Linked DNA regions of Arabidopsis thaliana. The protein of the gene in region 2 interacts with the protein of the main gene of each other region in a pairwise test. Each region holds a gene or a part of one and is shown on either strand. Other genes may lie near its edges.

What was found. The genes of interacting proteins can lie anywhere in the genome.
Region 1: the proteins of AT3G04860 (region 2) and AT2G19650 interact in a two-hybrid assay, tested with the Arabidopsis thaliana proteins (one large-scale study listed by BioGRID).

The regions. Positions count from the first base shown.
Region 1 is NC_003071.7:8,492,772-8,497,799, forward strand, and holds AT2G19650 (Cysteine/Histidine-rich C1 domain family protein), read right to left. Parts: upstream 3,122-5,028; 5' UTR 2,933-3,121; coding exon 884-2,932; 3' UTR 698-883; downstream 1-697. Other genes in the region: AT2G19660 (Cysteine/Histidine-rich C1 domain family protein), read right to left, coding at 3,949-5,028.
Region 2 is NC_003074.8:1,338,088-1,342,587, reverse strand, and holds AT3G04860 (hypothetical protein (DUF868)), read left to right. Parts: upstream 1-1,964; 5' UTR 1,965-2,199; intron 2,200-2,282; 5' UTR 2,283-2,369; coding exon 2,370-3,239; 3' UTR 3,240-3,761; downstream 3,762-4,500.

The DNA of each region.
Region 1 (5,028 bases), on a different chromosome or scaffold from region 2:
TAGAATTCCATATCTAGGTTTTTTGTTTTCTCCTAGATAGTCTGAAGAATCAATTGTAATGGTCTGTGGAATTACACGGAAACAGTTTTGTTGTAATAATGGAGCATCAGTTTTCTTTGGTTGAATGAAAAATCATAATTTTTTTGACTTTTTAAGTTGAAAACTGCAGAATTACATGGCTTGATGATGTTTGCATTGTTAATCTCTATTACTCTTCAGTGTGCTCAGTGCCTGAAACCATAGCTTCCTTGATAGGGATCAATGTATTGGTAAACCAAATTGTGTAATAGTTTTTCCATAAAATAGATTCAATAGAACCAGTGTAACAAAAAATTATTAGGGGGCTCTGTTTTAAGGTCGCAACATGACGGTGACACAAACATTTTTTAGTGATTAACTTGTTCTCATTCTGTTCCAAGTTCAACAACACAAACTGAGTTTTTTGGCTTCTCTATCAGAGAACTAATGTGATTCTACAACACAACCTGCTCTGACTGACTTACTCTGCTATGTTCTGTTTTGCTCTGCTCTGTTCTCACTTCCACGTCTCTGTTTTTGTCATTGACATTTCGACTTGTAGGAACTTAAACATTTAGTGGATTGACTGGCAAGATTGATCCAACCTTTTCCAATCTTACATCCATAAATAAGTTGATATTTTTTCTGGTTTTTATTTGGCAAACACTAATGCACCCTAGGGTTCAATGAGATATATATATATTACACTAACACAAGTACACAACCAAATGTTATTGTAGGGACTTGTAATAATTTAACAGACCCAGATTCCTCACAAATTCTACCAAATTTGCGAGTCATTCAAGCTAGCAAACATTATCATCTATAAATAAATAGTTTTCTAAACATAGTAAAGAACATAATTTTAAAATTCGAAACGTTCCTGATAAATTTTCTTCTCACATTCTAAAGAACAAAAGTATAGATCAGCTCCGTCCTCGGGAAGCGTACGAACGAAAGGGAGCTTGCATCGAGAGTTGCACACGCAGCAAAGTGGTCTACAAATAGAGTGGTTGGATACAAATGTTCCTATCCATGTTAACGCTCCTGGCATGGAATATGCGTAAGTATCTATAACGCAGGAAATATGCAATGTGATCCCACACTCATTGCATGTATAGAACCATTTTTCTGGGTTCACAGTTGTTTCGCATGCTTCACACCAATATTTGCCAGCCACGCCCATTTCGCCATAAGATAAGAAGAGAGGATGATCGTCGTACCTATGCCTCATTACCTTTTGCGGTAAAATAGCACACTTGAAGCACAAACCAAATTCACAATCATCGCAACTCAATTTCCCGTCTCCATCACACTCACTACAACGTTTGGAGTGATCTGTAGAGTAGTGTAAAGGATGTTGATGGCTTTTGTGCTCAAATGGTTCTGTAACTGTAGCGCACCGTACATCTATCCTTAATTCCTTAGATTCATAGGAGAAACCGGTGAACAGTTGACGGCAAATACTACACCTATGTAACAAGTAGGTGCCATAATTTGGGGATAGTTCGAGTGGCTGGTTGTGGCACACATGACGTTTCTTTAAAGGAAGCTTGGCACATTTTTCGTGGATTATGAAATCGCATCTCTTTCTCGCGCAAGCGTAGAACGGTTCTGAACAAATCTGGAAGACACATGCGGTACAAACTACACTTTCTGGTAGATTCCAGCCACGGTAAATTCGTAAGTTATGCTTATGGCCGTAATGGTCTATCGTGTTGTCATCAATCACCTTGAATGGCGCAGTTTCCTCTTCTTCGGGTGTCCCTTCCAGTTCGATCATGTCCCATACATCCCTTCTGGTTGCGCATCTTGAATGAACAAAATAATCAAAACATTTGGAGCAAGAATAAGCCCCGTAGAACCCATCCACATTTTTACGACAAACTCTGCATTTCCCGTCTCCATGTCCGAGGCGAGGGGTGTAAGAGATGCGGTGGTCGTGGCGGTTGATGTTTATGACGCGAGGTAGATCGATACATTCCCGATGAATCATGAAATTGCACTGAAGACAGAAATAAGGGCTACGGTCACCTAGCGTCCCACAAGCATTGCAAGTGAAGTCAATGCGTCTTGGAACAAGGTGAAGTTGATGTTCATGGGTCCTCGGGCTTTTAACAAGAACCGGTGGTGGGTTTTTCATACATGATCTGCATATGCTAAAATTACAAACACCACAGTGGTGAAGCTGGCGATGGATTCCATCAAACTCCTCGCGGCAAAGAAGACATTTCTTGTCGGCGTAACCAGGGACTTCATATCTAAGTGACTTGAGTGGGTGTTGGGGGTGAGAAGTGTGGTATGCTTCTGGACTATTATGATCGATACAATCCAGACTGATGAAAAACTCGCATTGATGACATGTGTAGAAATGTTTCCAGCTATTATGTTGATGGCCACACCCTTTGCAATCTCTGAGTGTTTCGTGCGCTTCATGGGAGAGTTGGAGTGGATGCTCGTGTAGGTAGGAGTTTTCAGCAAGAACAAGTAGGGCTGGTCTCCTCGCGCAAATCAAATCCAACTGGAAATCACATTTGTTACAGCGATAACCGACACTGAAAAATTCTCCACAGAAACTACAATTAGAAACTCTGGTATGTAGGAGGATCAGCTTGAGAGGATGGACTGGATGGTAAGGGTGGTCGATTTCTGGTAACGGCTTGGCGCACTCTTCATGGAACACAACATCACATCCCGGCTCATTGCATCGGTGTCCTCCGTAAATGTAACTGCAACCGGGATGTTTGGAAATGAAGCTTGTATTATCTTCATCGGTCGAGTAGCATCCTTTACACTTGGTGAACTCGAAGCGTGTAAAAGGTATCAACGGATGCTCATGAAATGGTAACAATTTTTCAAGGCGGGATGCTTCTTCGTCCATGCCTTCATTAAACAAAGCTAGAAAGTTTTCCATGGTGATGTTTTCTTACTTCCACCAAAACACAAAGCTCTTCTCTTCTGCACTAGTTTCAGACTTGGTTTCTTGTTTTTCTCTCTTTCTTTTCTTTCAGGATTTTTTTTCAAGTGGTTTATCATTTTCAGACTTTGCAAATAGTTAATATGAATTCGCACCACAGAAATGATTCTTTTCATTACTGAGATTGAGACCACATGTGTTGGCTTCATCCTTGCATTATTTAATTAACTCAGACCACATATGTTGACTCTGCAACTATTGTGTCCGGCCAAAACATAAATAATTGAATGAATACAAAAAAGGTTTTTTCTTGCATTAAATGGAATAGAAGTTTATGGATAGAATAGTTTAGAATTTAAATGGATGGAACTGTACATTTTGTGGAAAAAACAGTTTGAAGTCTGAACCACACAACTCCTTGGCCAAGTAGCTTTGGAGGTAGACTTTGCTGCATTCAAGTCTCTGAAACCAAAGTTTTATTATTGTATTGCATCCACTAACTTTTATGTAATTTCAGACCAAAAGATTTGTATTTTTGTCTTTAAGACCAGGATTGGGCCAATCTTTGTTTTTTAATTTTTATACAGCCAAAAGTAAGTTCTATTTCCACCATCAGATTGTATAACCCATTTGAATAACACTATAAAGTTAACATATATATACCATCTGAAACATTCGAAGAATCATTTGTCAAATCACATGTATTCAAATCACTCAGAGCAAATTTTGATTAATAAAGAAGTTAAAAAGACATACTGCGTATACATGAGCTGCTCTTGCTTTAGCACAAAACAGAGACCAGATTCCAGTTCCAGCTCTAATGTCAAGAAACTTGTTCTTTTAAATATCCTGTTAAGAAATTCTGTTTCTAAGATCATTGAGACTGCTGCTGACTGGATTCAAAAGATTGATAATTGTGGAAAAAGCGCATAAGCTTGAGGTTAAAAAAAAACTATTGTAAAACATACTTTTGGAATTAAATGGTACAAAGTTTTTCTTCATTAAAACATGCCTTACCAATCACTACTAGAGTAGTTATTAGAGCGGTTGAAATTATAATAACAGTTTAAAGAACAAATGTATAAAACAACATCGGCTTTGGAAACGACCTTAACAATGGAAGGAAGCTTGCATTGAGAGTTACACACATAGCAAAATGGTCTACACATAGAGGTGTTGGATACCACCAAGTCTTCCTCCCATCCTATTTTGGAACCTGGCATATAATATGAGAAGTCTCCCACAACGCATGAAATATGCAATATGACACCACAATCATTGCATGTATAGAACCATTTCTTCGAATTCACTTTTGTTTCACATGCTTCACACCAGTATTCTCCATCCACACTACTTTCACCACACGACAAGTAAAGAGGATGATCGTCGTATCTATGCCACTTTACTTTCTGCGGTAAAAGAGCACACTTGAAGTCCAAACTATAGTCACACTCATCACAGCTAAAGCTTCCTATATCTAGATCCATGTTTTTGCCACATTCCGTACAAGACTTAGAACTACGTTTCGAAAAGTATAAGGGATGTTGATGGCTTTGGTGCACCAATGGTTCTCGAATTGAACCACATCGTACATCTAGAGTAACCATACGAGTAAGACACTCGTACCTGAAACCGGTGAAACTTTGCCAACAAAGATCACATGAAGTTTCGTCTGAAGTATCATTTGTGACTAGGGTAAATGGTAGGTTGTCGCAAACATGCCGTTTCTTCCGAGGCAGGTTAGCACATTTTTGGTGGAGAATGAAGTCACAATTCTCGCAACTGTAGAACGCATCTGAACAGATCTGGAAGACACATGCTTTACATAGTGTGCTTTCATGGAGAATCCTCCCATCCTTGTTGATTACTAAGTTATGATCATGGCTAAAATGTTTGATCGTGTTATCATCAATCACCTCGAATGGCGCATCTTCCTCTGGCTCTTCGGGTGTCCCTTCTAGCTCTATCATGTCCCATACATCCTCGTCCGTTGCGCATCTCGAGTGAACAACATAGTTAGAACATTTTGAGCAAGAATAACCCCCGTAGAAGCCATCAACCTTTTTACGACAAACCCCGCATGTATTTTGCCC
Region 2 (4,500 bases):
AAATGAAATTAGGTGAAGAATTGAGCCTAAACCCATTTTAGATGGTACTTAGATAAGAAAAAGATTGAAACGATTTTTTACTAAACTTTTAGTTCACATTACCAAAAATTAATAATCTGATTCGAGCTTTCCTAACCTTTTAGTTTATGTTCGAAAGAAAGAGTTTTAACTTTTCACTTGAGTTGAGAGACATAGAAATTGATTCTCTGGTTAGCCGCCTAAAACGTTTAGGCTATAATCTCGGTTATTCGTTGTTAAGTCTCAAGAAATGATAATCCGAATCAAATATGGGCTGGTGTATTTAAAAAGGCTGAGACCCAAAACAATATTTTTGTTTGGCAACATCTATATATATATATTTTTGCAACACTTTTATGAAATAAATCCATAAATCCTGAAATTGAGGTTTATTTACAATCCAATGCTATTGGCATTTAATATTTTAATAAATTTATTCTTAAATCTAAATATAAATCAATTTTGTTACTAAAATTTAGAAAACAAAAAGAAAAATAGTCACAGAAATCATTTAAATCTTTTCAAATCTAAACTAAAATATACTACACACTAACTTAAAATTAACTTAAAATCATTTAAATCTTTCCAAATTTAAACTTCTAAAATAATTAAAATATTTTGCCCAAAAAACAAATAATAATAAAAATATCATGAGACAAGTTATATAGTGAAGCGGATTTGGATTGATATAACACGGGTTAAATATTTATTTATTATTTTATCATCACTAATTTTTTATTTACAATATTAATATAAAATTATATAACTTTAATATTAAATTAAAACCATAAAATTTAATATTATTATATATATAAATAAAATATTTGTCCCGTGGTGTACCACGGGTTAAATCCTAGTATCACTTATTTCTGTTTTGTTTTAACGTTTTTAAGATTTTATAGCTTCTTGAAAGAAACGACTCATCCTACAAATTACAATCTTTGTCAATGTTTAGGATTTTTTATTTGCATTTTTATCTTCTGTTTTGAGAAGATGTCCGTCGCTCACAAGTAGATAGGGAGACATATTATTAATTTTAAATCAATACTAGTATAAAATAACAAACGACACCAACAACACGATAATATTAATAACGAAAATGAGACTACGATAAAATAAAAAAATAAAAAATCAGATCCCAAGAAAATAATGTTAAACTACTGGGACCTGCTTTATTACAGGTTGGTCCAAATTTCAATCGGAAACATACATAATGATAATTAATTATTCCAAGACTTTTGCGGTAGCATTGCCAAACAAAAGGAAACAGTTTAACCTATTTGGTATGATAACTTTGTTCGTTTTGATAATTAAACATATGCTCTTCACCCACCTATTTGGTTGACAATGGAATGAAGAGTCAAGACATATGATTGATTATCGTATGAAAAATTCAATCGCTAAACTACCTCTAAAAACGGTATATGACTAATTAATCCATTAGCGAAAGCCCAAGAGAGCAGTGAGAGTGGGCTCAATCGTGGGTATTAACTACATGCCTACTACAAGTCATGAGATACCAATGGTTATCATACCACACGTGGCAACCATTCCTTCCAGCCTTTCATATACTTTTTTAATTTTTATCCTACTTTTTTTTTTAAGAATATACATAAAAAATTCACTATAATGAGACAAAGTTAAAACCCTTTATTATTTAACTTAAAGCACAGAAGAAAATGTGAGTATTTGTGTCAAAAATAACAAAGTTCGAACCAAAGTTTGTAAATTTTTTGATTAAAATCTAAGATGATGTAAAAAAGAAAAGAATGTAAATAATGTTTTTGTCCGAAATTTATTGTTACAGTCGTTTTCCGCTGAATTAAATTCGAATTTGGTACTTTGCCAAGAAAATCGGGTAATTATTTTAACGTTTTTAGAAAAAATGACTCAGACAGTGAAAACAAAGTTTCCTTTTTGTCTGTTTCTGTCTTTTATTTTTGACTACAGTAGTAGGCACACACACATTCTCTTCTATTTTGGCGAATTTCGCCTTTTGTGCATTCTCTCTCTCTCTCTCCCGGAGTCTCAGGCTTTCTCTTAACTTCTCATTCTCTCCTTGGTTGATGAAACTGGATCGATTTGATAGAACCCAGATCAAATCTGTTGACATTTTTCCAGATTTCGATGCTTTTTTGAGATTGGGTTTCTCTTTCTTTTGATGAAACTTATCACTTTCAGGTAAATCCTATAGTCTAAACACTTGCTTTTACGAAATTTCGTTACTAAACTGAAGTTAAATTCGCCGCCTTTGAATTTCTCAGCGTTGCCCAGTTTTGGCCACAAGGTGTTTGTTGAAATTCCGGAGAGAGAGAGAAGCTCGAAATTGGGAATTCTGTAAGGAAAAAAAAATGAGAGATTTTCCTTCTTGCTCTGGTGAAAATGGTGTTCAGATTGCGGACTCTTCGTCTTCCTCGAGCGCTGGAAGAAATGCTCAGAATTTGGTAATATGCATCTACCGTTGCCGCATCCGAGGTAGGACTTGCTTGATCACAGTCACATGGACTAAGAATCTGATGGGTCAGTGTGTTACCGTGGGGGTTGATGATTCTTGCAACCGAAGTCTGTGTAAAGTCGAGATTAAGCCGTGGCTCTTCACTAAACGAAAAGGGTCCAAGACTCTAGAGGCGTATGCCTGTAATATCGATGTTTTCTGGGATCTCTCGTCTGCTAAATTTGGATCCAGCCCTGAACCTTTAGGAGGGTTCTATGTTGGAGTTGTTGTTGACAAAGAGATGGTTCTTCTTCTTGGTGATATGAAGAAAGAAGCTTTTAAAAAGACGAATGCTGCACCTTCTTCATCTTTAGGTGCTGTGTTCATTGCTAAGAAAGAGCATGTCTTTGGCAAGAGAACGTTTGCAACTAAAGCTCAGTTTTCAGGTGATGGCAAAACTCATGATCTTGTGATCGAGTGTGACACTAGTCTCAGTGATCCTTGTCTCATTGTTCGTGTCGATGGAAAGATCTTGATGCAAGTGCAGCGGCTTCATTGGAAGTTCCGTGGCAACGATACCATAATTGTCAATAGAATCTCTGTGGAAGTTCTCTGGGATGTCCACAGTTGGTTCTTTGGGTTGCCATCATCACCAGGAAATGCAGTGTTTATGTTCAGGACTTGTCAATCTGTTGAAAAGACCTGGTCTTTCACACAGGTCCCCACGAGCTCAAAATCTCAAAGTTTTGGGTTTTCATTGATTCTGTATGCTTGGAAGAACGAGTAGAGAAGAAGAGTTTTGAGAGTTCTTTTGTTTCTCTTGAGTGCTAACTAAAGGTTAAAAAGGAACTGTTGATTCTTGTCAATTTATTTTATCATATGATCAATTGGTTTCAATTATAGTTTTCTCGTAAAATGTTCGAACCGGATCATTGAAGTATATATCAGTTTCATATGTCAAAAGTTTTTACTTGAGACTTGTAAAGACTTTTGTTCAAAGCCGATTACTTTAGCCCTGTATCAAGAAACCAACTGTCTAGATACTCTGTTTTGTTCTCCATGTGCATAATGTTCCTCAATACACTTGATAGTTCTAACTACATTAAGGGTTTCTTTGGTGTATGGTCTTTCTTCTATTGGCTGTTCAATTGTGGACAAATCAGATTATAACGATCTGAGCTAAAGCTAGTAGTTACAAGAAGATTATCAAACATGTGCTTTGCATCCATCTAGATATTCTTGCTGAATCATTTTATCAAGTATATGTATCTTCCTTTTAGAGATATATCATGTATTTGGTTTTGTTTAGCGCCATACCTTTTGAGACATTGTATATAGCACTTTGTTATTATCCAGCTCTTTGCAGTTTCTGCAGGTTTAAAGAGTATTTTATCAAGGATTCTAGAGAGACGTGGGTTTGTACTTGAAGATTCTTAAATTGTGAATCAGTAAGTCATGTTTCAAGTTTTCACATTTCAATTATTTCCTTGCTGCGGTCTCTTCTCTAGCCCTCCTAGACTGCTAAAAAAATTAAAGATTATAATAGCATGATAGATACTCTTGCTGAATCATATGGTTTAGGTAGGGTTTTCAACTTGCTTCAAACAAACCTCTCTATAGTTGTTCCTGTTCCTTAGAAAAACTGTCTGAATAATGTTTTGAGTTTTGACTGTTGGGTTTGTCCAAATAATGTTTTGAAAACTTTTCCTTGAAGCTGTTCTTGTAGCATGAACCCGTGACATGAGAGAGTTTGCAAAGTTTATTATGATTCGATATCCACCGAAAAGTGTACAACATAGCACTCTTGCTTGAAAGAACATCAAAGTTCTCTTGGATTGTCAAGTCAGAGAAAGATGTTTTAGAGCAAGCCAAGTTACTTTATACGTCAATTCAAACTTTTAGATTTGGATATCTCAATGGGTGGGGGGACCTGAACACAAACTGCATACAGTTTTGCAAAGAATCTCTGAAACAGCTTGCCGTTTGTTTGATCTCCTGCTTTCTTTTTGGCTCTTATTGTATTGAGGGAATCTTGAAAAGGTTAATGA